Linked DNA regions of Notamacropus eugenii. The protein of the gene in region 2 interacts with the protein of the main gene of each other region in a pairwise test. Links are inferred from orthologs where the notes say so. Each region holds a gene or a part of one and is shown on either strand. Other genes may lie near its edges.

Region 1 (7,253 bases), about 73 Mb from region 2:
GGAGCCAGATCTATGGCCAACAGGGAAGTCACTGAAAAGTTTTGAGCAGGACAGTAATGTGATCAGACTTATGCACTGGGAAGATTACTTTGGCATAGATGGGAAGTACATAATTAAAAGAGGAGTCACTGATGGTAGGGAGGCCAATTAGGAGGTACAGAAAAGATATAATAAGACCTTTATTGTTTGTGAGTCCTAATGGCAGCATTACCCCAGTGGTTTTCTTCAACAACAAAAGGAGAAAAAGCCAAGTAAACTCAGGTCCCATTCAGAGTGCTGTTGTCTGATGAGTGTAACAGGAACACTCCTAGGCTCCAAAATGGATGCAAAAGCAGAAGTGAGTTTACAAACAGAGGCCAGGAGGAGTCAAAAAGAAAGCAGACCCAAGCAATGGAGTCATGAAGTAATAGCTTATCTCTCATTGCCCCAGTACGCTGCTGCAGAAAACTTCCTATTTCCACTCTGCTCAGTGGGAGCTTGCTTCATGCAGTGGACACCTGAAATACTTGAAACACGCAACTTCTGCAGAGAAGGCAAGCTTTAGTTCCTGTCATTGAACAGGATACAAAGACTGGGAAAGAAGAAAAGAGAAAGAGAGAAAGCTTAATTCTAAACTCCAGTCCTTTCCTTCCTCACTTGAAATGGGAAGGAACAATTTTATTTTCAAATCTTATTCAATATTTGCATATCAGAAGGCAAGCATTAGGTCTTTTTCTGCCATTTAAATATTTATCCATTATGTATACCATCCCTAGGACAGTGCTAATAAGTGAGAAGTGCTGGGCAAGTAATGAATATGTGTGTGGCATTTGGTGAGTCACTTACACTCCCTGAGCTCCAGTTTCCTTATCTGTAAAAGCAAGGGACTGATCTAGAGAATTTATCTGTAAGATTCCTTCTAGACCCCAAATCCTGTGATTCTCTGGTGTCATAGCAATAACTAAATTGGGAATCACAGCATCTGAGTTTAAGTCCTGGCTTTCCCATTTAACTAGCCCTGTGGACTTGGGGAAAGTTACTTAATTTTTCGGAGCCTCAGTTTCAACGCCTATAAAATAAAGATACTGGATACTATCAGAGGGTTGTTGGGATGACCCAGTGAGCTCTCCACTGGAAATTCACCTTCTAACATGAAAATTGCTGTGCAGATGCAAGGCATTCAAGTCAATTCAACCCAATGAACATTTATTAAGCAGCTGCTACATTTCATAAAATAATTGTATTACACATGAGGGATACAAGACAAATGTAAACAAACAAACAAACAATACAGCATGGCAGGTCCATCCAGAGTTTATCATCTAAGAAGGCTGACAGACCGGTTAAGGTAAAGAAGCAGTCTAGAATGTTCCAACAAAATTTAAGAAGATTTCCCAGAGGAAATAGTTGTGTGAAGGAAGAGAACTTGCGGTTTAGTAAGATGAGCACTGAATTTGGAGTCAAGTGGCTTGAATTTGAAATTCCAGCTCTACTACTTATGCGACCTCAGGCAAGCCACTTGCCTCCTGGGGTCTCAGGGTCCTCATCTATAAAATGGGAGAGTATTAAAGGTTGCTCTTAAAATTGCTCTTAAAGGTACCATAGAGATCAAGCCCTATGATTTCAGCATGTGGAGATGTGGAAGAGGTTGTTCCAAGAATGAGGAAAGGCAGAAGCAGGTGAAGTCAATGCAGAATGGGGCAAGATAGTTCATATTCCAGCTTGCCTGGAACGGACTTCTAAAGGGGAGGATCATGCAATTAGGGCCTTAAAGGGATGTTGGAACCAGGTCTATAGCCAACAGGGAAGTCACTGAAAAGTTTCGAGCAGGACAGTGATATGATCAGACTTCTGCACCGGGAAGATTACTTTGGCATGAATGGGAAGTACATAATAGAAAGAGGAGTCACTGATGGTAGGGAGGGCAATTAGGAGGAGGCTCTTAGAATGGTCCAGAAAGACATAACAAGGGCCTGAATGGGAGTGAAAACGAGACAGATTCCAGAGACACTTCAAAGGTGGCATTGAGAGGACTGGACAACGGGATGTGAGGGAGGAAGGGAGAGAGCAGAGGAAGAATCAAAGATGACTCTGAAGTTGAAAACTTGGGTGATTGGGAAGGTGGTAGGGTCAAAACAGGAAGGGAAGTGGCTAATTAATAATTATAAATACTATTAAGGTCAAAGGTGCTATGTGAAAGGTCACAACTAATGCTTTCCTCTAATAATTAAATGTCCTCCACACAAAGACAAACTAAAGAGGGGCTCCCAAAGCCCCAAGGAAGAAAGTCTACCAAATAAGCAGCACCTTGCCTATGCTTGGCTCTCCTTTCAATCCCTACCATGGTTCTTCAGCATGTTGATTTTGCTTGAAGTGAAATCCCCACCAGCTGTAGGCATCTGGGTAGGGAGAGGAATTTTAACTGCAGGGGGAAGGGAAGGATGGAGAATGGACAGCAAATCAGGCACAAAGAACACACACTCCCTCAGACAGGGATGTCACTTCAAGACTTCCCCCAAATGAACTTTACAGAACACACACAAACGCAGCATTGTGCTGGTCTGAATCAGCCCCACAGTGGATGGTCCAAACAGCTATCAATACTCCATCCATTTCAGAGCAGGAGAGAGACCCTGAGTACACAGCACTGCCCTTTCAAGTGACTGCCTGTGGATAAGCCCCCATTTTAAGGACACCTTCAATACCACCCTTTTATCCTGTCACTGTCATAGTGGGTTTACAAAGAGCTGAGCTGAAGAGCTACTTTCTCAAGATTCACACTTTAGAAGACACCCACAGAAATCAAGACTATCCCTGGGCTGCCCTCAGCTTTGCAGCCCTAATATATACACCCAGCAATTGCTTCCCTTCCATAGACCAAGGAGTCATGTTACTTACATGGAGTAAAGGGGAGAGAGATCCAAGAGCTGACTCAGGTGTCCCCAAATTCAGAAAACTCATAACATAGAGGGCAACAGCTGAGGTTTTCATTCCATTTAAGCAGAAACTACTGGGAAGACTCAGACAACAACAGGGTTCACAAGCAGACCAGAGAATGAAGCTTTTGAAAGAAGAGGAAGTTTCACTGTACTTCCCTAAATTCATCGTTCTTCCTTCTGATGGTTACTAAACCCTTCTCTGATTCCAATACCCCAGGCATAGCTATTCTGGGAAGGCAAGTCCGATCTGTCTCATTCCATTTATTCTAAACATTGCCCAATGTATTCATTTCCAGGACACATGTACAAAACATTGGGCTGCTCTGGTTTCCTGTTTTGGAGGCAAAGGCTCTCTATTTACAGACATGTAGGGAGAACTCCTCTGCCTAACTCCCCTACTTCCATCAGATCCAATTGTCTGATTTTACTAAGCTACCCTTCCCAGATTCAGATTATTTTATGAATTTCCCTCCTTTGCCCCCATTTCTCAAGCATTCATAATGGGCTACCAAATAACATAACTGCAGACTGATAAACAAACAAACAAAAAGAATCCTTTTTCAGTCTATCTTTAGCAACACTCACCAAGATATCTTCCAACTATAGCTCATTTCTTTGACCCACAAGGGCAGGAAAAATGACAAGTGGCAAGCTAAAAATGGACAAATCCTTCCCTTTAAGCACTCCTACAAGGGCTCTCTCATTTCACTGGAGCCCGCCCTCTTAGCACTCTCCTCTGGGTTCACTGGTTTGCACCTTCTCAGGAAAAAACAAAACAAAACAAAACACCATCTCATGTTTCTACTCAATGGTTTCAAATTTAAAAAATTAAGCCAAACAACAGTTAAGACTAGAGCTCTACTTGTAGAGGTAGCTAGACTTTATTCAATTCTGTTTAAAATCTACACCTGCCAAGCAAAATGCTGACGTTAGCGAAGGCTCTTCCAATGGTTTAATTAGAAATATAAAGGCATTGGGAACAAGTCAGAGTTTTTCAAGCCCAGTCCAACCAGCCCTCTCTTCTCTGCTTCGCTTTCAAAGCAACCATGGCCAGCAAAATGGAAAATGACCGGTAAGAAGAAATCAGGGACCGTCACATCTATTGCCTCAAATAGCAGCACTTCATGTGAAAAGATCTCCATGTTATCATAACATTCAGTACAAAAATGGTCATAACTATAAGCCCTGGTCTCCCAAATCTGAGCTTCTTCCCCCAAATTCTCATGCTCTCTGCTCCCTCCATTGGTCATGTGACTATGGTGTACGGGCATTTCTCCACATCTGCAACGTCCACCAACCTCAAAAGGCCTACTTCTTTCTCATTAAGAGGTTTGCTTAGACTAGGCATGATTGGGGAATCTGTAGCCTCAAGGCAACATGTGGCTTCTAGGTCCTTGGGTATGACCTTTTGACTGAGTCTGAGTTTTATGGAACAAATCCTTTTAATAAGGGGATTTGTTCTGTGAAGTTTGGATTTGGTCAAAGGGCCTCACCTTGAGGTCACAGGTTCCCCACTCCTGGGACAGCAGTGCCGGATTACGTGTCCTGGCATGGAAACAGTGGGGTGTGAGAGGAAAAGGATAGTTCCGCGCACAAAGATAAATAATCAAAATAATCCAGTTCACTAGAGTCCTTCCTAATAAAATGAAGCCTTCACAGTAGCTGGCATCACATGAAGAAACTAATGAATTACTTGATTTTTACTTCAGCTGACAGGAGATTTCAGAAGCAAACAGGCATTGTGCTCTCTAAGCTGTGTCTGTATTCTTGAGGCCCATAGATGATAAAAGGTTTTGAGACCCTCACGTGTCACTCACTACTCTTAAGTCCCTCTCAGCCCTAAGAGAAGCTAAATGTTACAGGAAAGCTGCTTTTAAAAAAAAGAAATGGACAGAAAAGGAATTTAAAATGTAAATTAAATTGATGTCTGGTCATTCCTATCACCTTTAGATAATGATTGAACCTCACTGGTTTTCTGAACTCTGGTCTCTGGACATTTATTTCACAAGAAAGGTAAATTTATGGAGAAGTGAAAAAAGATTTGTGAATATACAGATATGGGCTGAGAACAAAACAAAATGATTTCTGGGAGCACTTAATTTGGGTGAGCATCCATTTGCGAGGGACAATCCTCCCTCAGTTTCTCCTGAATGAGAAGCTCCATTCCTGCTCTATGGAAAGGTAGTACAGGGTTCTGAGAGATGGAGATAATGAGAAGAAATACCAGTAACACACATTTCATTTTCATTTTAGTCTGCTTTCCTCTATTCTTAAAATTTTGAATTTAGCAAACAAATAAAATGAGCATTTTCATATACAAAATAGAACAGAAAAAAACAATTGTATATAAAGCCACAAATCCCTATTACATGCAATTTGCTTTATACATTAAAAAAATTAATATATAACTTTCAAAGCTGTTTTGTTGGTATGTGTTTCCTTCTGGCCTCCTATTCTCTTCTGTGCCTTTTTAAAATGTTTCATTTACCCTCTTTTCTTTTCTTTTTTTTTTTTTGAACAATTCTATTATTTACAACCTCCTTTCCCAAATCCCCCCTCAAAAAAAAAAAAAACAAAAAAAGAAGGAAAAGACTCATAATAAATATGCATAGCCAAGAAAAACAAATCCCTACATTCGTCATGTTCAACAATGTATGGTCTCATTCTGAACTGTGAATCTATTATCTCTTTGTCAGGAGGTAAGTAGCATGCTTCATCATGCATCCACTCTAATATCTGGTCGATACTGCATTGACAAACCTCTTAAGTCCTTCCACTGTTTTTCTTTATAGTGGCTGTGTAACTTGTTCTCTAAATTCTGCTCACTCCCCTCTGCCAAAATTCATGCAAGTCTTCTCAGTTGCCTTGGAAATCATCCCTTTCATCATTTCATCATACAGTATATGTAACAAGGGCTGGCCCCCACATGTAGCAGGGAGGTGTCATTGTGTGGCTCAAAGCAAGGTAGAATAGACATCTCTAGCCTCTCTTCCACCCACCCTTCTCCAAGGAAGACTTTATTTCCTACCAAGAGGAGAAATAGGCAGTTGAGACCAAAAGGCTGGCCATTCTGCTTTCCTCAAAAAGGTACCAGGCTAGAATTATATTTATCTGATCTCTTAAATATCATTAGTCTAGGGCAGGGTTTCTTAAACTTTTTCCATCTGAGACCACTTTTATGCATTTTGGAAGCCTTTGTTGGTGTTGCCTGGCCTAAGGATATGTGCAGTGGAAAGTGCGCATGCTTTGTGTTCAGAACCAAGGCTGTAGTGAAGTTTCCACTGCAACACAGGCAAGCACTGCCAGAAACACCTCAGATTCATTAAATGTTGGTCATTGTGCATTCAGAAACCTTTTCCCATTGCCAATTTTTTCTCGCCTCCATATGGAGTCTCAACCCACAGTTTAAGAAGCACTGCTTCTTAATATGGCTTTCAAGTTCAAGCTAAACTTTTGATTACTGTTCATTAATTGGGGGGAAAGAGGACCCAAGCTTTTTATCCAGTGCTTGACTCCTTTCCAACCAAATACCAGTGCCACAACAAGCATACATAAGAAATAACAAAAAACCTTATTTATCCAAGTCTATAGCAGGACATATATCAAAGAAAGTATACATACGAAAATATATACCAGACAATACATAATGGAGGAGCTCTCCTGTTGAGAGGGAGGCAACTCAACTTAACTGAAAAAGAGTGTCCCAGATCTTACCCAAGGGGAAAAGATCCTGAAGTCTATAGTATAACAAGATGGGACAAGGACATGATGAAAACTGCTAGCTCCTCTTATGTCAGCCTCTTCCTGGAGTCTTTCCCTGAAGCAATCTGAAGCAGCATGTGGCATCATCTATCTTCTCTCTCAAAGCTGGAAGCCAGAAGTGCCTGAAGCCATTGTAGAGACCAAAGAGCCTACAATAAGTGTGACTAAAGAACACACAAAGATGGAGCCTTAGAAGTGTTCTTCAGGACACAAGAGGAAGTCAGAGTCCTGTGATTTGGCATTCCATGATGATATAGGACTCCTTGAAACATGCTCCAGGACAAGTGGCTCAACTCTTGGTAGTTAAGCTACAGGATCAAAGCTCCTCAGGTGTTTCATAGGAAGGGCAACTTTCTCAGTTGAACCAGGTTAGTTTCCTATCTCTGAGGTCACAGGTTTTGAGACAAGCATCTGCCATTACCTCAGCCTATTGTTGAAACAAAAAACACTCCTCTAGAGGAGGAGAAGCCTAGGAAGCAGCTACAGAGAAAGCCACAACCCAAGAGGAAGAACATTTTGACCCATTGTGGTTACACCTGGTTGTAACTCTTCCTCTTGCTCATTCTCATTTCC
Region 2 (7,045 bases):
TCTAGCTTAACTATTTCCTGCAACACCATCTTTCTCACCTTCTCCATCATATTCAAAAATGTGAGATTATCTTTGACACTGATCACCCAAATCCAGTTATCAGTTCTGCCTCCATACCAGCTATCACATTCAACTCTTCCTCTCTATTCCCACTATACTACCTAAGCAGGAATAATAAGAGGCAGCATCTCATGCTACAATGAAAAAAGCACTGTATTTAAAGACAGTTGCAATCAGGATTAAAACCCCACTTCATTTACTTAGGAGCTATGTGGCCATGGACAAGTCATTTAACTTGCCTGGTCCTTACATGCTCTACCTTTAAAATAAACTCCTACACCTCAAGAATAATATAGTTGGAGAAGACCTCTGAGGTTGTCTAGGCACGATATTTTGGGGAATAAATCCAGCTAAGGATACAGAAAAAAAGGATTAAGTAAATAAGAAAAGAACTAAAAAAAGAGCAATTTCATGAAAACCCAGAGAGGAGCAGTCAGGAGAAGAGGGTGGTCAATAGTGTCAAATGTACAGAGAGATCAAGAAGAATGAAGACTGAGAAAAGGCAATTAATTTGGCGTATAAAATCAGTGAGGTCTTTGGAAAGTGCAATTTCAGTTTAGTGATGATGTCTAAATGTAGATTGTAAAATGTCTAGAAAAGAGTGAGTGGAGGAGTTTCAATTTCAACTGAGATAGCTACTTGAATGGGAGGCAGACCAATCAACTTCCACATACCTACTCCAGCAAAACTGTGAAGTTTTCAACAGCCTAAATAATGATCAAGTAATCCATTAAGAAACTTAGTAAGTAACTTCTTCAACCCCAGAACTGCACAAAAAGTAATGAAATACAGTAATGAAATCACAGGACCTATCCTTATGTTAATACCATCCCTGGATGTAGTGTCTTGTAAAAAAAGAAAGAAGAAAAGAAAAAAGGAAAAATGGCTTTATCAAATTAGGCAAAGTACATGAGGTTGTAGGGATGATAGTAGTAGCAATAATAATAGTAGAAGTAGCAATAGCAGCAGCAGAAGTAGCCATTACACCCATATACTTGGGCTGTTAACAATAGCCACCACAGGTCCTCCTGCATCCCTTTTCATACTGTTACTACACTGTTTCTGTTTCATACTGTTACTGTTATATACCAAGTACTTAGATCTGGCCATGTCACATCCTGGTTAATAAATATTTAATTTATTTTTAAAAATCTAAACTCTCAACTGCCTATAAAGTTAAATTGAAACTTCTTGGCTAACATTCATGACCCTCAAAAGGGTCACCTTACTTTTCCAGACTTATTTCATGTTATTCCCCTCCATGTACTTGATAGCTCAGTCAAAGCAGACTCAGTCCTCCAATCACGCCTCTGTGTCTCTGATCACATTGTTTCCTTTGCTTGAAATGTCTTTCTGTTTCCACCTACTTCTCAAATTCCTATATGTTCATTAAACCCCAACTCAAACGTCACTTGTCCATGAAGCTTTCCCTGATCCCTTGTCAGTAACAGTCTTCCCCTTCATATAATATTTTGTTCAGCAACTATTTAATGTACCCATATAATACTGTGTATTAGTTATCTGAATTTGTCTTATTCCCCCTACTAAACTATAAACTTTAAGGATGGGCATAACGTCTAATCAAAGTTTTGTACCTCCCCAGTTCCTAGCACAAAGTGTATTCTTGATAAATTTTTTTAAATGAATGAGCCAAAAAACAAATGAGTTTGCCATTCACAGGTCAAGAACATACGTTTTCTTTACCTTATCCTGGATATGGAACAACATAAAAAGGAAAGGCATTTTTATTACAGCCTCCATCTCTAATTGCAAAACTTCACTATATGACTATAAGGTTAGATGTAGTCTTCCTCCCAAAATAAAACATATTGTTTCACACAAGCCAGTGTAAATTAATTTTGATTGTAATTTAAAGATAAATTATAATATCAAAACTCTACTACCTACTCAAAGTTCCATGAACATCATTTTAATAAAAACAAAACATAACTTTAAACACACTGTCTCTCAGACACACTTTTCATAGAAAATCTACTGGAATCCAAAAATTACAGGAATATCTTTATATTACTTATAATTTCACTATTTACTGTGAGGGTGGAAAAAGTAATCCTATCACATCTACCTATCAGGCTTCAAAATAATCTGAAAGTAATTTTGTAAAAAGAAGAAAGAAGGCCAAAATACTAGGTACTTTTTTCATCATGTTTAATGAATAAAAATATCAGTGATTTTTAGTCCTAACACAGAATATCCGGATCCCAACTTGTTAATGTCAAAAACATTATGATTGATAAATACTTTCTTGACCTTGGTCAAAAAACTAATCCAGCCCAGCTTCATAACCTCTATAATTTCTGACCAAGTGCCAATTTAGAAAAAGGAGTTGAAGGTTCTGAGAAAAAGTTAATCCCCTTAATTAAGTAGTATGAGCACTGAGAGTTTAACTTCAAAGAAAATCATTTGATTTGTAATAATACACTTGTGAAAAAGGAACAGCTAACAGGGACAACTAATTTACCCTTTTTCTAAAAGAGGAGGTGAAGATAAATGAAACAAACCCTATACTATATTTTTTCCTTTCACGTGGAAACCCTGCAGTAAGAAGAAACCGTAGCCTGGTTAATTCTCAACCCCACCCAAAAAAGGCAAAAGGCCTAGTAATTCTGTCTTCAAGCTTCACATTATTAGTCAACATACATACAGAAATTTTCCGTCCTATAATAGAAGTTAAGTTTTGAGTATGATATTGAACTCACCTTCCTCTTCCTCTGTTTTAAGTACCATTTTGTCCAATTGGATAAAATATGAAGGTCTCAGTCAAGTTTATTCCTCTCAATTGATTTCTTCTGGTAAAAAAAAAAATGTAACCAAAGAGAAAGCTTTCCAAACTAAGTAAGATTTTGTGGGCCAGAAATACCTGTAAATCTGTCTAGCCACTAAGACAGCTCAGAGCTGCTTCCTGAACTGAAAGCTACAAATACACAGAGCCAATCAGTAAACAGCCAGAAAAGGAGTGTCATTCCCTGTTGAATCACCACCACCTAGTTCCTGTCAAGCTGAAGTACCTTCCTATAAAGAAAGTTAACTCTTTTAGCACCTAGAGTTTGTCTAACAGGGTGACAAATTGTTAGAGCAGTTCAACTCTCTTCACAAACACAAGCAAATCAGATTTAACCACTAGAATTGCCTGCTCTCTTATCCTTTAGCCCCAATTCTTAGATTACAACAGGAAAAAGCCCTGTCTTCTCATAATTAGATTATAGTTTAGTTCAAAAGAGGATGACTAGTCAGAGTTCATGACATCACAGGTCAAATAGGTAAGATTTTACAAGCCAATTAAAGTTCAAAACCTTGCATATATAGTAAGCTCAATAAATGGATGGTATGAACACGCAAAACACAAATCTAAAGCAAAATGCCAAACATGATGAGTTCTTCCTTAATCATCAAGCCACTTTTTCTAATGTACCTACTCAGCAACTTTTTTCTTGTACAACCCCTATCAAGTCCAATGTGACTCTCATATTGATGGAGATGAAAACCCAATCTTTTTCAAGGGGCGTGACAGTGTTGGCAAGACATCAAAGACTTTTACCAGTCCACCTTCAGGGATTCATCCTTTGGGTGCTCCTGACTTCCATCTTTGAGAAATAAGATGAAAGAGTCCAATCCCGTGAAGTGGGTTACTACTCTAGAGTTACTACTCTAGAGATTCAGGGGAGTATTCCCCTTGGGGGAGATCTCAATAAGAGAGTTCTTTCATTCTGTACTGCCTGGTATATATTCTTATATGTAGACCTTCTCTGATTTCTGTTTGCCACGATTTGGATAAATAGGTTTATTTGTTACGTGTATTCATTGTGGAACTAGTATTAAGTGGAAAAGTAGTCAAGTCTTGGATACAAAGTTTGGGGTCCCCCTCCTTCCAGAAATGATAAAGCGATCAAAAGTTAGATAGAACCTATCTCTTAGATGAACATTATTTAAGGAAGCACATAGATATATTTCTGGGCCAGAACTCTCTCACTTTCATTGGGGGTAAGTCAGTTCAACTAAGAGAAGGTTATGGATCTCACCCAAAGGGAATACTCCCTGAAGTCTCTAGAGTAGCAAGCTGGGAATAGGGACTACCTCCTCCTTTCATGTCTTCCCAGAGTCTTTTCCTTTAGCAACCTGAACTTCTTCCATCTTCTCTAAGGAGAGCAGAGTAGTGACCTCTGGCCCCAACTTCCTACGTCCCCTCATACCAGGAATGAAAGTCTCCTATGGAGAAGGGTGGGGATGAAAGAGGCTAGAGATATCTATTCTGCCTCCCTCAGCCATACAAGGATTGATTTCCCATTCTCTTCCTTCCAACATTATCTTTTTTTTTTCTTAATTATTGCTTTGGTTTCCTGATTAGTCTTCCTGTTTTATTCAGATTTATCCTTTTCCCTATCTATCCTCCATGTAGCTGCCAATAGTGATATTTATATGATGTGAGTTTGGCAATGTCACTCTCCATTCTGTAAATTCCAGTGGCTCTCTAATGCCTCTAGGTTTAGTGCCTGGCACATAGGAGGCATTTAATAAACGTTTGCTGACTCGACTGTGGTATCAAATATAGATGCCTTTATTTGCATTTGAAGCCCTTGATGGCCTGATTCCAGCTTCCTTTCCAGTCTTATTGTAACACTGTTCCCCTTCACATGCTCTGTGGTCCTGCCAAATAGACCTTGCTGTTCTGCACACATGACATTCCAACTCCTATATGCATGCTGGCACTACTACCTCCTCTCCTCTGCCTCCTGAAATCCCTGGCTTTCTTCATGGTTTAGCTCAAACACCACTCCCTATATAAAGCCTTTCCTAATCCAGTCCAACTGCTGCTCTTTCCCCTGCTCTCAAAAAATTACCTTGACAGTATTTTACATATCCTTAAATGCATACATGCTGATTCCCCCAATTAAATGTTAAGTTCTTTGTGGGCAGGGACTGTTTGTCTTTGTACTTCTAGTGCCTAGCACAGTGATTAGCACACAAGAGCTGATTAATAAATTCCTGATTAATTTATCTTGGTGATTTTGTTTGTACCACCTCCTGTGGTCAAAATGGACTTCTACTGATCCCTTACTCCCCCCAGTTAATCTCCATAGGCTGAAATACATCCTTCCCTTCAAGCTACAATTCATGTACTTTCTCCTTGATGAAGACTTCCCTAACTCTATCCAATTGATTCCAAATTTTTCATATCACTTTGCCTGAAAAATTCCTTTGTACTTTTCACATTCTTACATCTCCATTACTGATATCACCCTAGTCCCCATATAACATCTTAAGTACCTTGAGAAGAGAATCTGTGTCACTGGTATCTTCATATCCCCAGCATAATCTTTTGCATATCCTAAATGCTTGATAAAAGTTGATCTAATAGAATGTTTATGAAGCATACATATATATAATATATTTACATATATTGTACATCTGAGAACTCCTCCACCAATGTAGATCAGCAACTTGTTTACAATTTCATAGTCTTAGAGAGTGATCTCAGGCACTGAGAGGTAAAGTGACTTGCCCATGGTAACACAGCATGGGTCAGAGTAAGGTCTTTGAACCCCTGTCTTCCTGACTCCCAAGCTGGCTTTCTATCTACTAGACCTCTGAGGTGAGGTATTTACAACTGAGAATTTTGTCAAGAGAATGTATGCTTCACAGATAGGTTGCAAATGGCCCTAAGTTCTCTTCCAGCTATAAGTCTGGTTCTAGGAGTTATACTTTAATATTTCAGTGAATCTATATCCTCTTAAATGCAGGTATTCTCCTCTGATGATATGGGTGGATTTTACTCACAGAATCTAGTAGAAGCCTTCCTAGTAACATTACAAAGGATACCAGTCCAGTTCTCAATATCTTATCTACTGCTCCTTTCTGACCATATATTTCCTGGATGATTTTTATGCCACTTCTTATGCACTCGTCAATTTTGGTAATATGCTGACATCAAATTATGCACATATTTTTTTTTCTATTGCCCTCTGGGTCTCCCAAAGTTTTAAGTTTCTCCCCCAACAAGTTTCATCTTATATACATGCTAAGATTCCTTGACAGAAGCAAAAACAGACAACTCTGTCCAATAATGTCTGATTATTAATGTCAGGCAAGAAATAAAGCTGAAGAGATATGCTTGCTAAAAATACTCACCAGAGTCATAGAGGATATCCATATGTTCAAATAGAAGAAAAAATTCACAATAAGTGATGAGGTCTTCAGCTGTTCTTGTTTGTGGATGACACTGTACTGATAAAATAAAGCCACAGAGCACTACAAAGCCTCACTAATAAGATCCATAACTCATTCAAAAGAGTTTAGCCTAACAAACCACAGAAGAAAATCCAAGTAGATGAAAAATGCTTTGTGCCCAGACTATCATATGGAATTGGATATATAACTCATTGAGTTAGTCCCTCATTATATTTATTGTGAAGAAAAAATGTAGAGAGACAATGAGATGGTTCCAGAATTAAATAAAAGAAACAAAAGTTGGCTGGAATTTCATTTAGGAAACTGAATCAGAAACTTATCTTTGTAAAAAAAAATTGTTATTTTTGTTGATAACTTTTGTTTTTAAGTCACAATCATTTCTCAATATTGCATCCCTGTCCTACCCAATAAGCCCTCCTTTATAACAAATGTGTTTTTAAAGGGGGAAAAAGTAGTTCAGCAAAAACTAATTAACATATCCACTACGTCTGACAACATATGCAATATTCTATACTTATAGTCCCTTCTTATCAACTCTTTTCCAGGACCAACTCTGGTTTAGACCAACACTGTTTCTTTTTCTGTTTATTCAGCATATATTGTTATTGTCATAATATACATATCCTTTTCTTGGTTCTGTTTTCTTCTCTCTGCATTTGGTCTTCTTCGGCAACGAAGAAAGAATACACACGCATCAGCTTATACAAGTTTCCCCCATGCTTTTCCATTTTTTTCATATACATCTTTTCTTAACATATAAGTAACATTTAATTACACC
Region 3 (7,581 bases), about 250 Mb from region 2:
ACGATGTCACTCTCCTGGCAGTCCTTCTGTAGGAGCTGCTGTTTGGTGTCACAGCGAATTGAATCAGGCTCGCCTCTTTCAGCAAAATTCTGGAGAAAGGAACCAAGGAAAAGATGAGAGGGACAAAAAGAGAGGGATACCAGCAGCTGAGCCCAGCTGAAAGGAAGAACTCTGTCCTGGATGTGACCTGGGACCCCAGTGACTGGTACAAGGTAGTGGGGTCATTATTAGCTGGCCCAACCACGCCCCCCCCCCAAAACCAACCAACCAAACAAAACTTGGAACTCAGGGGCCTGGGTCTGGGGTAAGATGAGGGCACAGAGCCATCCTAAAGCCTGGGACAGGGGCCACGCTGAAACATTTGAGGTTGGCCTGTTTTGTCCAAGGCTGGCCCTCTGTGTCCCAGACTGGTCCACTGCATCCAAGGCTAGCCCTCTGTGTCCAAGACTGACCCCTCTGTGTCTAAGACTGGCTCTCTGTGTCCAGGCTTTTCTTTGTTTCCTTACCAAAATTCCTCATGAACAGGAGAAAGGAGGATGTCCACTGGTCTAAACACTGGGGTGGTTTTCCTTCATATTTATCTCCAACTTGGAAACTGAACTTTCCCTTTCACTTCTGTCTCCTTTGCTGGTCAAACCCACCACTAGCTGGGGTTCTGCCAGGCAGTCTCAAGACTTCCTGGCTCAGCCTCCTTGATCCATAGCAGGCCTGCCTGGCATGTTCCATGACTCCACTTCAGAGGGCAGCTTTTTAAGGCTTATCACCTCTAAGTGGGATTATTTGAAATCTTTCTCACTGATCACAGCAAAAGTTTCCGGTCCTTAGGCTGAGGATGTCTCTGGCCACAGCCCGTGAGGACCTGACCCAGAAGGCAGAGGGCCTCGGACCTGTGTAGGCCCTCACAAGCCCAGAAACAGTGGGGTCAGCAGAGAAAGCTGAAGGCAGGACAAGTCTTGGGCTCCCTCCCCTTCTTGCTATTTTTAGTGCTGCCAGAATGATGTCTTACCAGCTTCTTACACCAGGCACAGCCTGGAGCTAACTTGATGCACTCCTGGCAGGTGTTGACTTTGTACTTGGGACATTCCTGGGAAAGAACTGGAACAGAGAACAAGTCATTCAAACTGAAGAGACTTTTCCATCTAGCCCCAACCTGTCCACCTGCCCTCATCCTCTCTTCTCCCATCCCCCAGGTGGGTCTGGGTCAGAAAGGTTGAAGCTGCTCCTGGGGCCATCGATGTAATCACCCTAACCCAACCAACCTAAACCTGGAGCCCAAGAGCCTAGGCCTGGGCCTTCCCCTTCCCCCTCACCCCCCATAAGGACCCTATCCCTGGGAGCATAGAGGGGAGCTTTCTCCAACACTCCCATTTCTGGGTCATTCTGGGAATCTGACTTGATGATTCCTTTGTATTGGTGGTTACAAAGGTTTTGGTTTTTCTTTTTGTTTTAGGGGAGAAGAAGAAAAAATAGGTTTTTGCTAATTAAAAACAATGAAATCAAATCAATGTGTGTTGAGTTGAATGGAACCCCTCTGGTCCTCAGTTTCCCAGCCTGTAATATGAGGGAATAAACTAGACGATCACTAAGCTCTCCTCTGCTGCACTAATCTGCTCAGGTTCTGTGACTGTCAGTCCCTCTCTGTGAGGATTCTTCACAGCTCAAAGCAGGAGATAAAAGAAAGGCCAGTGGAACTCACCTGATGGTGGAATCAGCAGCCCCACCAGGGCGATGACCAGGAAGTTGTAGCAAGACATCACCTCTGAGACTGGGGGCCTAGCCCCTGGCAACTTTGGGCGAGCCTGGCAGGGAGGCAAAAGCGTGGGAGCCGTTGGCAGGGAAACAGCAGGTTCAGGCCCCATCAAGAAGAGAAGGGGAGTTCGTATTTACTCACACAATTATATTTTGGAAGAAACACTGTAATGCCACCATAACGAGGGCATGTGATTCAGGGTCATGAGCACTGGAAGATGACATTAAGATGCCCCAAACTGGACAGAAAATGGGGGAGACCTGCCAGTTTCTATAATGACTTATTCTCCTTTGTGAGGAAAGGAGATCCACACCTTGGGGACTCGCAGCAGCCCCTCACATCTTGAGGTGGGATGTAAGGAACCAGAAATGACAGCAGAAAAGGAGAGGTGACTATGAGAACTGGCCTGGGAGAAGCATGCCCCAGAGAGGAAGTCCAAGCTGGAGTGGCAAGAAGCCTCCGATGGACTGAGTTTCAAGATGGCAAAGAAAGTAGAAGACAGAATGATCAGGAAAAAAAATCCCAGATGGCCTCACTGCCAATACCAGCTCACCCCCCAAATGGGTGGACATTCCTAAGACTTGACTTCTATGTCTGCTTTTTGTACCTGAAGATAATCAAAGTGCACTCCCCTTAAAATAATCTCATCCACAAATGTTTCTGACACAGACTGACCTTTCCCTCAATTTCAAAAACTCTAGTGTTTTTATATAATATCATATTAATTAGTCCTATCACGTATTTTATGCTGAATAAATTTCAAATGTCCTGAGCAATCCCAAGCAAAATTAGCTTTGAATTAATGGCACTGGTAATACTTGATTCAGCTGGGTAGCCAAGCCCAAGCTGAGGGAGAAGAGAAGGAGCTTCTGTGGCAGCTGAGGGACCAGGAAAGTCCCTGTCAAGAGGAAAGGAAGTCCTACCCATAGGAAAGAGGGCTGATGCAGGATTCCATGGAGATGCAACCTCAGTGGTTTCCTCTGTTTCCAACTGATTCCCAAAGAAGCCAAGAGGCTTCTGAGTAGGAAGAGGCCAGGATGGGATGGAGGGAAGGTCTCAGAATAGGTGCTCCAGGCCATGCTGAGTCTGCCTGGATGGGGGAAGCCCCCAGCAAGGAAGGTTGCACAGGAGTGTTGTCCCCAAAGTTGCCCCCGCTATTACCCAGAAGCCACTGTGGTTTATGGAGGTTACCTGTTTGGCACAAGTATGGGCAGGGCTACCCCAGGGGAACACTCCTGGAGCCCAGCAGAGGCTAGGGCCAGAGCAAGGAAAGCTCTGCTTTCTTTAACCATTATACCCAAAGTGGGCCCCCTTCTTTAGACCTTATCCCTCATCTCTTCACCATGACTGATCTGCCAACACCTCAGTGACTGTCTGACTGGGAACTAAGCGCACCCAGGAGAATGAGAATGGGGTAAGGGAAGAGCCAAAGTCAGCAGGGGAGGGGGAAGGGAAGTTCCTGGAGTTCACCATCTTGCTTGGAGATGATTCTTGGCTTTGCCCCCAAAGTCTTCTTCTGGGTCACCCTTGGCATGCAGGCCTGTCTCTGAGCTGGGCATGAGGTACAGGAAGGTAAGCTGACCATGGGTCTCCTTGGTTCAGTTGCTAGAATCCCAGCTTAGCCCAGCCTGCCCTGTGGCTGCTTCCTGGCCCCAGGCCTTGGAGGAGGAGCTGTGACATCTGCTCTGAGTGGTTTTCTGGTGTAGGTGATGGTTTTCTACCAAGTGATCCACACACCCACTCTGGTCTCTCTTTCTGTCAGAACTGGTGCTAGGGCTGGGCTGACTGCGTTTAGCCCTGGGAGTTACTGAGAGGAACAAAAGTGACCTCCAACCAACCAGACACTTACAAGGGTTTCCCCTCTGCTCAGGAGTGGAGAGGCAGCCCAAGATTGAGGCCTTGCCTGGAGCAGTGTGCTGATCAGGCATGCTAAGAACCAGGATTCAGGGGCTCCTGGACCACTTTCTCTCCACAATCATAGGCCCAGAAGCTGGAAGGACTGTACCGTCTGATCCAAGGGGAGAAGAAAACTCAGGCAGTCCAGAGAGAGCCCATCTGGGAGGATCAGGGCATGTTCCAGGCTCATGAGTCAGGGCCTTCTCCCTCCATGCCATTCCCTGGTTACTGCCCCAGCAGTTGCCACCTCCCTCCCGCCCCCCAGTCAGCTAGCCCCCAAGCAAGCAGCAAGTACCTAAAAATGCTTTGTGATTGATGGATTGATTGATTGATTGATTGATGGCACCTACATTTGATGTGAGCTCTCCAGAAAACAGGAAAAGCTTTCTGCCTGAAAAGGATGTGTCTCAGGGTGGCTGTCACCCAAGGCCAACGGGCCCAGGACAGGCAGTGGGGGCAAAAGAGTATCTTTCCCAACCATCTTGCCAGAAGGCAGTCATCTCCTCTGCCTGCCTGTACCCCAGACCTTCAGGGCAAGGCCAAAGGGGGCTCAGCATGGGCCAAGACCAGACAAAAGCATCATGCCTGTTGTTGGTTTGCGGCTCTACTTCCCACCTCCCATCCTGGAAGAAAGGAGGTACTGCCTACCCCAACCTCATGGTGGCCCAACAGGAATCCTACTGTCATCTGTGTCCAGGGAGCAGGCAGGGGAGCTCTGGGCTCAAGGATGCCAGGAAGGATGCTTAGTAAGGTGCCCCAGTGCTAAGTGGGGACAGGTGACAAGCCTCAGCTGGACCTGTGATCTGACAGGACATGTGCACACATGCAAACAAACGTACATGACCAGACTTCCCAGCAAAGATGGCATCACGCACAGAGTACTGAACTTGGGGTGAGGAAGACCCAGTTCACGCCTCATTGCCAGTGTGACCTTGGGTAAGGTACTGTGCCTCAGTTTCCTCATCTGTAAAATGGGTGGGACTTAGTGGCTCTAGCTCTCTGTCTCCCTGGGGCCTCACAAAATCCCATGGCTGGGACACCACAGCACCATTTAACCAGATAGGCTATTTAACCAGACAGAGGACCAGCTCAGCTAGTTCCCGTCAGAGGCAGGATTTGAATCCAGCCCTCTCCCACCCATCTGTTCAGGATGAAGTTATTCCAATTTCATGATGAGTCTCTCTTTTCAAAAGTCATCAACAACCCCCCACCCCCACCCCAGGCCTTAAGAGAAAAAGGCAGAGCACACGCAGCCCTATGAAAGAAGGGTCCAAATCACTAAGAAAAGAACCCCCCAAGAATTCTCACACCCAACAAGATGCTGAAAATGACAAAAGTGAGCTCAAAGACCAGCACACTGGTGCATTGTTGGTGGAGTAGGTGCTGGGTCAACCATTCTAGAAAGCAATTTGGAATGATGCTATAAGAGAAATGACTAAAGTGTCCATCTCCCTTGGCCCAGAGACCCCATGACTAGCCAGCTGTCTTGAAGAGGTTGGACAGAAAGGTTTCATATCCACCAATATACTCCTGATGGTACCACAAGGTTTCCACTTCCTTAAACCGAACTCCTGACATCCCTTCCTCCCTCTGACCTCCCCTCAGGCCATCTCTCCCTCCTCCTCATGCCTCCTAAGTTTGCTCTTCCTCTTCTACCAAGGGCTGGCCCCCACAGCAAGCCCTGGGCTCCAACCAGGCTGCCAGGGCACAGGACACAGTCCTGCTGGCCACCCTCTCCTGGGCCCTCCTTTTTATTTTCCCCTAGCACAAGCCTCCTCTCCTCTGCTGAGGCCCCCCGCTTCTACTCTTACCCTCTCGGCAGCAGGGGACATCCTCGATCCCTCTGCTCCTGGACACTAGGCCACTGACCTATTCTGGGTCTCCTCCCAACTGGCTGACCATGCCCTTCTCGGTCTCTTTTCTATTTGCATTTGCTTGTGGGTTATCTCAGGGACTTGGTGTCAGACGTGGAGGGCCACAGGGGGCTGGTACCCCCAGATATGAGCAGGCCCACTCCCCATGGTGCTCTGGGGTACTGTAGTGACTGAAGACACCCTGAGGTCCTTGGGGTATGTGTAAGGGAGAGACTTTGTGAGTGGATGTGGAGAGGAAAGAGTCTGGTGCTGCTCAGAGGGGCTGGTTTGGGGCTACTTGGGAAGAGGGAGTGGTGGCTAGTCTGAGGGAGACCCACTCTCTCCTAGTGCTTGGCTATAATAAGGCTAGCCTCTGGACAGTGGCAGACATGGTCACATTCCCTCTGCCTTCAAGGATGTTCTTTATTTAGACCCCAGCCCCCCATCCTTTCTACCAATGCCTTCCCAGACTGACTGCCAGAATCATTGAACCAGAGACACAGAACCGAAAAAGTACTCAGAGCTCCTCCCTACCCCACACCGCTGCCCCCACAAGGCGACAGGCCCAGCAGGTACTTGGCCAGCCTCCCCCTAGATCTCCTGGGTCAAGGACCTGACCACCTCCTCCTCAGGGGAGCTGTCCCACGCTTTGCTGCCTCTACTGAAGCCACTTCCTTTGGCTGGAAATCTGCCCTTGCTCCCCTGTGCTCCAAGAGGAAGGCTGGGCAGAGCAAATATGTGACAGCCTTCAGGGGTCTGAGGACAGCTAGCCTGCCCCCAGCCTTTCCAGCTCCTCTGGCCACCTCCTGCAGGGTATGACCTCCAGCCTTCTCATCTCCCTGGGTCTAGAATTGTTGGATCCAAAGCCTCTGAGCCATTCTGGGTCTAGACCCAGGATCTCATAGCAGGACACCTTGCCACAAATGCTGGTTTGGATGCATTTCTAGTCTGTGAATGCCAACCCTCTACTCCAGACTCTAGGAGGCATACATACCACCCTTGGTGTATTACTTGGGGATACTCCTGGGGAGCCAGACCACTCAAGGCCGATATGAGGGAGTGTGCGGAAGGACAGTGCCAACACTCCTGAGCAATGTGGTTTAGCACCTTGCTCACTGGCCCTATGCTGGCCTCATCTAGCCTTGCTTGGGACTCAGCAGCAAAGTTTCTGTGGTGGCCTGTCCTCTCCCCATGGCCCTGGGCTTTGAAGCCAGCCCCACGGATCTGTCCGCTGCTTGTTTTCTCAGGACTGTGGTTGCACACCAAGTCACAAGGGTGGGTGTCCGCCCATTCGCTGTGCTGGGCCATCCTTCTCCCCAGCCCAGCCTCCCCTGAGAGCCTTGGAGGAAGCAGCACCTGACTGAGAGGGTGAGGCCAGCATGGGGGCGGTGGGCAGACCCCAGTTATCTTGGAGAACAGGCTCAGAGGGAGAGGGAATGGGCATTTATTAAGCACCTACTGTATACCAGACACCATGTATGTGCTCTACAACAACTCTGTGAGAAGGGTGCTGTTACTGTCCCTAATTTACACTGAGGAGACTGAGGTAGAGAGCAGGGGAGGAAAGGCTTGTCCTGAGCCCCCAGTAGGAAGCTCCTGAAGCTGGATTTGATCTTCCCAGCTGTGGGAGTGTATAAAGACTAAACAGTAACTGTCTTTTACCCAGGAAGCAGGAGGGACTTGCCCTCCCAGGATTAAAGGGGCCATCCCTTGAGTAACTACTTAAAGAGGACTGTTCACTGAATGGGTGTTGCCTTACTCTGATCACTTGATTAGGCCTTAGCCTAACAGGGTCAGGGTCTTCCATTGCAAATATCTGGTCACTGGATCCAGTGGGGCTCTGGAGGGAACAGTGAGGCTGGTGACCTTGCACAACCCTTCCTCCCTCAAATGACAGCCAGTCATGCCATCATTTCCCTGATGTCACGGTTCTCTTCTAAAATGGACAAACACAACAACAACCCAGCTGTGAAGTGAGTGGCAATCTGTATCAGTGAAGGAACTTCACTGATTTTTCAGTGGGAACTCCAGAGATGTCCCTGGGGGCTCTATGCCTTTCTGTTCTCTAGGCCTAAGACTTTG
Region 4 (6,950 bases), on a different chromosome or scaffold from region 2:
AATGAAGAAGGAGTAAAATGTGGGAGAGTTCCTAGCCCTAATGTCAAAGTTACAAGAAAAGACAAGGTCTACTTTCCAAGTATAACATGATGCTCTAACCAGTCGCCCAACACTGCCATATTATAAGTATCACTGTAGTACGCTTCTCTGTAATAGAACTACAAGTAGAGTGACTCATCCTAATGTAGAAGTGTCAAGCTGCCTTGGTGTCTTCAACTACATTAAAACGTAATTGGGAAGCATGTAAACAAAAGAAATAAAAACACGGTAGAACCTAATGTTAATGTGTGATTTTATATGTATGTATATATATGTGTGTGTATGTATGTATGTATGTATACATGTATACATAGTGTAATGGCCCATATCTATTTGAGTTTGACACCACTGTCCTAGGGTACCAAAAACTCGAGAGCACTGACATCCTTTCAGCAACACAGAAGCACATGAACTTAATACCTAGTTAGCAAGAATAAGTCATTAAAATATGAACTATCACATGGCATGTTTCCTCTCCAGAAGTCGCCTTTATATAGACCTGAGTTTCAGTCTATAAGGGTCAGAATCACAAGATCTCTCTCCCTCTTCTCCCACCCACCCCAATCCCTACACACAGGTTAGCATACCAGGGTCTCTCCCTACACAAGGCCTTGTATCCCAGGATCTCTGATTAACTCTCTACTGCAAATGAATTTATCTTAAAGGGTTTGAGAATTGAAGTCATGCTGCTCAACCTGGGTGACAAAATTATTAGTTATTAACTCTATATCTAATTCTTCTAAAACCAGCATTAATTAAAACATGGGTTATCATTCTGTTTCAATCTATAGTACCTCTTTTGTCAAATACACATGTTGGGAGTTGATTATAAGAATTTTCATCATGTATCCATTAAAGAAAAACAAACTTTTCCAAATTGAGAAAAAACATCTCTCAAAACCAAAGCAAATGACACCTTCTTAAAGATTCCTGAGAAAACAATGGATCAGACAAAGTAGCCCACCAAGTTTAAATCTATTATCTGCTTTGATCTTCCTTAAAACATTACCAAAAAAAGAACAATAACAACAGAATGTAGGAGAGTACACAATTGCTAATATACAATTAAGTGATGATGATTTGTACTGTGAAATGTTTCAGAATATTTTCTACTTTAAAAAGTTCTATCCTGAATCAGGTACAGAACCGAGCTTGTTTTGGATTTAGGTGGGATTTTACTTTACTAGTTTATTAACTAAATATTTATTGTCTATTAAAAGTAGAATACTCTGCTAAGGCCTGGGTGAGATACAAAACTGAGATAAATCACTGGGCTTCACCTCATGGAGTTTCCAGTCTAGTAGGAGTGTATAATACAGACACAAAAAAAGTATAATACATAATAGGTTCATAAAGCAGGTATAAACAAAGTCCTACATGAGATTAGGGTACTAGGGAAAGGAATAGGGAGGAAGAGAGTTGTCATTAATGGCTGGTAGTAATGGAACCAGCAAAGGAACTATGACTGGTTTGTTTTTTAATCTATTTAACAAATAAGGGTTTGGCTTTTTTTTTTTAACAGTGTGAACGATGCAGAATAAACTGACAAATCTCAAAGCGGTTTGGCTGAATAGTTTCAGAATCATCATCTTACCCCAAACGAAACACCTTACCCAGAATCCAGCATGAAAGCTGAAGAACTGTATGTATGATCTGTAAAAGTTTAGCGAACTCTGCAGAAACCAAACCCTAATATGATTAAGATCTTAAAGTGCTTCTTAGTATGGCTACAGATGGGGTAGAGGGGGAGGAAGACAGGGACAGAAACACGCACACACACACGCACACACACACACACACACACACACACACACACACACCAGTAGTAGGGCAGTCACACAGGCTGTGGGGGAGAGAGCAAGAAAGAGCGACATGATCCAATAACCTTAAGGACCTCAGTTCTTCCTGAGCACTTCTCCAGTGAAGGACAGAAATATCTTTGTCACACCTGGCTTTATGTTTTACTAGCATCTCAGTGTACCCAGTGTATCCATTCGCACCCAGTACCCCTGCCTCTCAGCCACACTCCTTTCCAAGTTCTGCCTGAGCATCTCAGCTCATCCTTTTGGAGGGCAGGTGCTGAGTGAGGAGCCCACTGCCTGATGATGGCTTAAATTCCCCAAAGTACAAAACGGTCATCGTACCTGCTTTCGTCCCCGGGGCAAAGTGGCCACTGTGTCTGCCAGCATTTGAATCCTTTTATTATCCACTTGTGGGCTACCTGTGGGCGTAGAGTACACGCTATAAGCTGGGCCTGTGCTGTAGTCCAAATTCTTGTTCTGCTGGATAGGCCTTGGGAAAGACATTGTGCATAAAGGTCACTCCAGCTCACACATCGCTTAGCCTTGCTGGCCAGGGACAATTAAAAGTAGAACCTTCTTGACAAGCAATCAAAAGTAGCAAAGCGGAAAGAGTCTCATGTGACTTCTGTGGTTGGAGGTGCTTGTTACACAAATCCCTTTTTGCAGATCACTCACATTTCTCGGTGCCTTTTTTTTAAGCCCATGAGAGAGCTGAGAGGTAATTTTTGCAATTAAAGAAAATCAGCTTATTTTTTTCACTCTTGGCAACGGCCAGAACTCTTATGCTTTCATGTGCTGTGACAGTTTGTGTTCAAAATACCATCTGCTTTTTTTTTTCAGTGGGGGGGGCACTTTTCTCAAGTTTAATTTGCTAAATGCTGTCACATTTTTTCTCAACCCATTCCCCAGACCTCTCCCCACACCAAGTACACACACATATACACACACTTCACGTTAGCAAAAGTCAAAATGTGTGGTCATGAAGCTCCAGAGACTTTCCGCGAGAATTGCAGGTACTGGTCACGATGTTCTCCCTCTCTTTCCTGTAATGTACTTCCCTCATGGTACGCTCTAGCCCATCAATGCTCATCAAAGACTCATTATACCTTCCCCTTAGACTGTAACCATTCATCAGTCTTTTTGTTATGTTTCTCTTTTACCTAAACAGAAATATTTACCTTAATACAAGGCAGTGAACTAGAAAGGCCCAATTTGGTAGCAGGGTCAACTCCCATCAGCAGATTTTTCTATTTCCTAGAGTCAGCAGGTGTCCAGGACCCAGGGGCCTTGGCAGCAGACAAATAAGATGGCAAGAGTGTATGATCAATTGGTTTGGGGATAGACAGAATTGGCAGAAGAACCAATCTAGGAAAGTAAGTTTGACTATGAGGTTTTCTTTTTCTTTTAATTCTTGGAGGATGTAGAGTGGAATAACTTGGTTGAGTGGCAGAGGGAAGTAAAGGGGTCTTCAATCAATGACTAATCATAACTTGGTGGGGATATAATTGGAAATTAGCTAAGCATATAAATTGCTTTCCACACCTAAAGGGAGACATAAATGAGAGTTGTTAGTGTTACAGAGACTTCCTGACACGTAGGGATTGAAATACACGGTCTCCAAAGTTCCTTCCAACACTGAGATCCCATGGCTGAATTCTGTGATTCTATGAAATAAAAATCAAACATGGAGGAGGAATCTGGTTTAGTAGAAAAACCATTGGACCAGGAGTCAAGAGAGAACTGTGTTCTAGCACTATTAGTCACTAACTAACTATGCACATTGGGTAAGTGATGTAAACTCCCTGGGTCTCAGTTTTCTCATCTGTAATATGGTCAGGTTTGAGCTGGAAAGTGACTACAGCTCCTTCCAAAACTAAAATTCCACAAGTCTGTCTGTCTGTCTGTCTGTCTGTATGTATGTATGTATAAATATAAAATTATGCACTAGACCAAACATGCACCTCAAAGTCACCTGGAATGCTAGTCATAAAATTCAAATAGCATAACACTTCTTTAAACTAGCACTGAGTCCAAATACACTTAATTCAAGAGCAATTCAGTCTTAACAGAGCTTGCTAAATGAAAATAGTAAAATCTTGAGTTGGCCTTTTCTCAAAAAAAAAAAGTGTGCCAACTCAGCTACAAAAGAACACTTTTACAATCTAGTTCCTTATTCCATGTGTAGGAGGTACCCTTCAGGTGCCCCTATCCCAAGCTTTTAGAAGCCTGCTCAAGTTTCCATAGTTAGCATGGGTAGCAGCATCACCAAGAGTGGCAACTGTATTATACTATGAGTTCCCAAACTGTCACAAATACTTAAATTTCAGATGTGATTACACCATTAACATTTCCAGGCCTTAATGTCCTTAACATTTCCAGTCAGATAAAGAAATACTATTCCATTATACCAAGAAAAATCTAACTGTAGAAACTAAGTTTTGAGTTAAATTGTGCCCAAAATGGCAGCAATCCTGCCTCCATGATGTGGCTACGCTACAAAGGGCTGACTTCAGTTGTCAAAATAGATACTCACCTATATGCAGAACTGCGACAAAGCACTTGTGAACCTTAGGCAAAGTTTAAAAATTGTACCACTGGTCTATGTTACTATGCATCTGTAACACAGTCAGCTGGGGTTATACAGAATAAATAACTGCATAGCCTGGGGAGCAGAATGTTCCTGTATTAAAGACATGCAAGTTTATTTTGTTTTTGTTTGTTACACGTACTTATCAGCCAGGTGGCCCAGTTGATAGAGCACCAGGCCTGGAGTCAGATAGACCTGAGTTCAAATATGGCTTCAGATGCTTACTGGCTGTGTGACCCTGGGTGAGTTACTTAAGTCCATTTGCCTCAGTTTCCTCATCTGTAAAATGGGCTAGAAAATAAAATGGCAAAATAATCCAGTATCTTTGTCAAGATGGCAAAGATTTCCCAAATGGGGTCACAAAGAATTGAACATGAGGGAAATGACTGAACACATACCTATCAGAAGTAATGTTGGAAAATGTCCCTTGATTCACCCTTTTTCCCTTCACTTCCACTTCTCCTCCACACACCCCTCACGATGTTCCCAGAGAGTCTGCCTACTCTGACTCCCCTGCCTACACTACATGGCATTATTTCAAGAATGCCGGGGAAAGAACTTTTGGCCTCCACCAGAACTAGTAGGGCGTCTGAAATTCCACCAATGGGAACTAAAGTCAAGCTAATGCTTATGAAAATGTTAAGACTCCTGGAAGGAGAAACACTTTTAAGTCATGATCTGCTTTTTGAGAATTGCAGCCCAAGAGGAATAAAAACCCCACCAGGAATCTTTGGTAGAGAATACTAAGGTGGATAAGTTCAGGGCATCAGCAACTTACTCAAAAAAGAAGGATGCATCACGTGGGTAGCTAGGAGTGGGAGGCGACCCTGGAGGTTAAAATGGACAAAAGCATGAAAAAGGAGAAGTGGAGGTAGGGTAGACGCTAAAAACAAACTTAACTGACATCACTGTTTGCAAAGGGCTGTCTCTAAGATTACTTAAGGAACCATACAAAAGGAAATGACTTCAAGGAGAATTACTTCTCGTGCAAAGTCTGATACCCAAGATTACCAACTTCCTAGTGGTGTCCTAACGCACTGAACTAACTGGAATATGACACATAGAACAGGGAGGGGTACTGAGGAGGAGATTAGCAAAGAATCCTTAGAATCAACATGTAAAAAAAGTTTAAGACTACACTTAATACAATTCTTTTCTTTTCCTAGGAGAAAAAGTCATGAGAGGAGGGTGAAAAGCCAAGAACATTAACAGTTCATCTATGTTTCAATGCAAACTTCTTGTGGGTTCACTGTATTTGTTTAATTAAGGGTTTGGAGGGTCATCTGCACATGAAAATATTTAATAAGCCTGGTTGCCTGAGGTGAAATTCAAGGTTTGCAAAACTGAAACATACAGTACTTGCAAAATGCAAATATGTTCCATTAAATAGGCAGACTTTTCTTAAAACAGTTAGCTTGGGTAAGGCAAGTATAAACACATACTAATTCACAGAAATTTGATAAATTGGTATAATTACTGTGACCATTAGCTAGATACTGCACTCATTGGTCTTAAGTTATGACATATATATGCATATGTGTGTGTGTGTGTGTGTGTGTATAATAGAAAAGTGGATTCAATTTCATCTTATATACCCAATAAATAAGAATTGGAGACAATAGCAAAATAACTCTCTTCTGTTCTGTTGTTGGTACAAGTCTAAGATAGCGCCCCACTGGATTCTTAAGCATCTTAATTTGCCCAAGTCAAAAAAGTCTGGGTAGTCAATGTTGTTGGAAGGAAAGGAATGGAAATAAACCAACAGAGGGAGACTAAATGGCACATTCTCAGATCTCTTTTTAAATCTGTAGTAAGCAGAAAATCTTTATCTGTCCACTTCATGAACTTCTAGTTGAATGAAATAATTATTAACTGTTTCGCTTATTCTATTTACTTTTGCGCCTACATCAGTTTTTGGAAAGAATTCTCTGTGTGTATGTGTGTGGGTGTGTGAGAGCAAAAGAGGAGAGAGATATCTATAAAAGTACTCATGTGTAGAGTGAGTAGGAGTATTTTTGACTTTGGAGTCTATCACTAAGGGTGTTAACCTCAGAGATGTAATAAGCTAGTGTACTTACCTGAGGATGTCTGTATGTAAAGACTCTTGAAGTACAGTGAAAAGTTTCCTATTGCAAATGACACATTAAGCTATAGAAGTATAGTTATTTTACAACTTAGTGGAGAATAGTAAGTGACCATAGTATTATAGAATCTCAGAAATGGAAAGAATCTCAAGGGTCATCTAGCCCAGAACTCATACCTGAACAGAAATCTCCTCTACAATATCACCCAACAAATGATTATCTAACCTCTGCTTGAAAATCTTCAGGGATAGAAAACACCTTACCTCTCAGAGAAGTCCATTTCACTTTGAAGCAACTCTAATAGTTTAGAAATTATTTCTTGTGTTCAAACTAAATCTGCCTCTAAGTAGCTCCTCCTAACTGCTCCTAGTTTTGTCTTCTGGATTAAGATAAAAGAAAACCTAATTCCTCTTTTATGTGACAGTCCTTCAAATATTT

What was found.
Region 1: the proteins of CYTH1 (region 2) and IPCEF1 interact in binary tests that used the Homo sapiens proteins (3 or more experiments, as listed by UniProt). The link is inferred for Notamacropus eugenii from reciprocal best matches to the Homo sapiens genes CYTH1 and IPCEF1.
Region 3: the proteins of CYTH1 (region 2) and ITGB2 interact in a two-hybrid assay, tested with the Homo sapiens proteins (2 studies listed by BioGRID). The link is inferred for Notamacropus eugenii from reciprocal best matches to the Homo sapiens genes CYTH1 and ITGB2.
Region 4: the proteins of CYTH1 (region 2) and CYTIP interact in binary tests that used the Homo sapiens proteins (3 or more experiments, as listed by UniProt). The link is inferred for Notamacropus eugenii from reciprocal best matches to the Homo sapiens genes CYTH1 and CYTIP.

What each region holds. Positions count from the first base shown.
Region 1 is NC_092873.1:247,206,285-247,213,537, forward strand, and holds the start of IPCEF1 (interactor protein for cytohesin exchange factors 1), read right to left. Parts: upstream 3,024-7,253; 5' UTR 2,878-3,023; intron 1-2,877. UniProt on the Homo sapiens protein: Enhances the promotion of guanine-nucleotide exchange by PSCD2 on ARF6 in a concentration-dependent manner.
Region 2 is NC_092873.1:320,236,760-320,243,804, forward strand, and holds the start of CYTH1 (cytohesin-1), read right to left. Parts: upstream 3,006-7,045; 5' UTR 2,809-3,005; coding exon 2,781-2,808; intron 1-2,780. UniProt on the Homo sapiens protein: Promotes guanine-nucleotide exchange on ARF1, ARF5 and ARF6. Promotes the activation of ARF factors through replacement of GDP with GTP.
Region 3 is NC_092873.1:70,161,120-70,168,700, reverse strand, and holds the start of ITGB2 (integrin beta-2), read right to left. Parts: upstream 3,009-7,581; 5' UTR 2,830-3,008; coding exon 2,569-2,829; intron 1,800-2,568; coding exon of another isoform or gene 1,697-1,799; intron 1,096-1,696; coding exon of another isoform or gene 1,085-1,095; coding exon 1,007-1,084; intron 90-1,006; coding exon 1-89.
Region 4 is NC_092876.1:216,345,779-216,352,728, forward strand, and holds the start of CYTIP (cytohesin-interacting protein), read right to left. Parts: upstream 3,014-6,950; 5' UTR 2,346-3,013; coding exon 2,184-2,345; intron 1-2,183. UniProt on the Homo sapiens protein: By its binding to cytohesin-1 (CYTH1), it modifies activation of ARFs by CYTH1 and its precise function may be to sequester CYTH1 in the cytoplasm.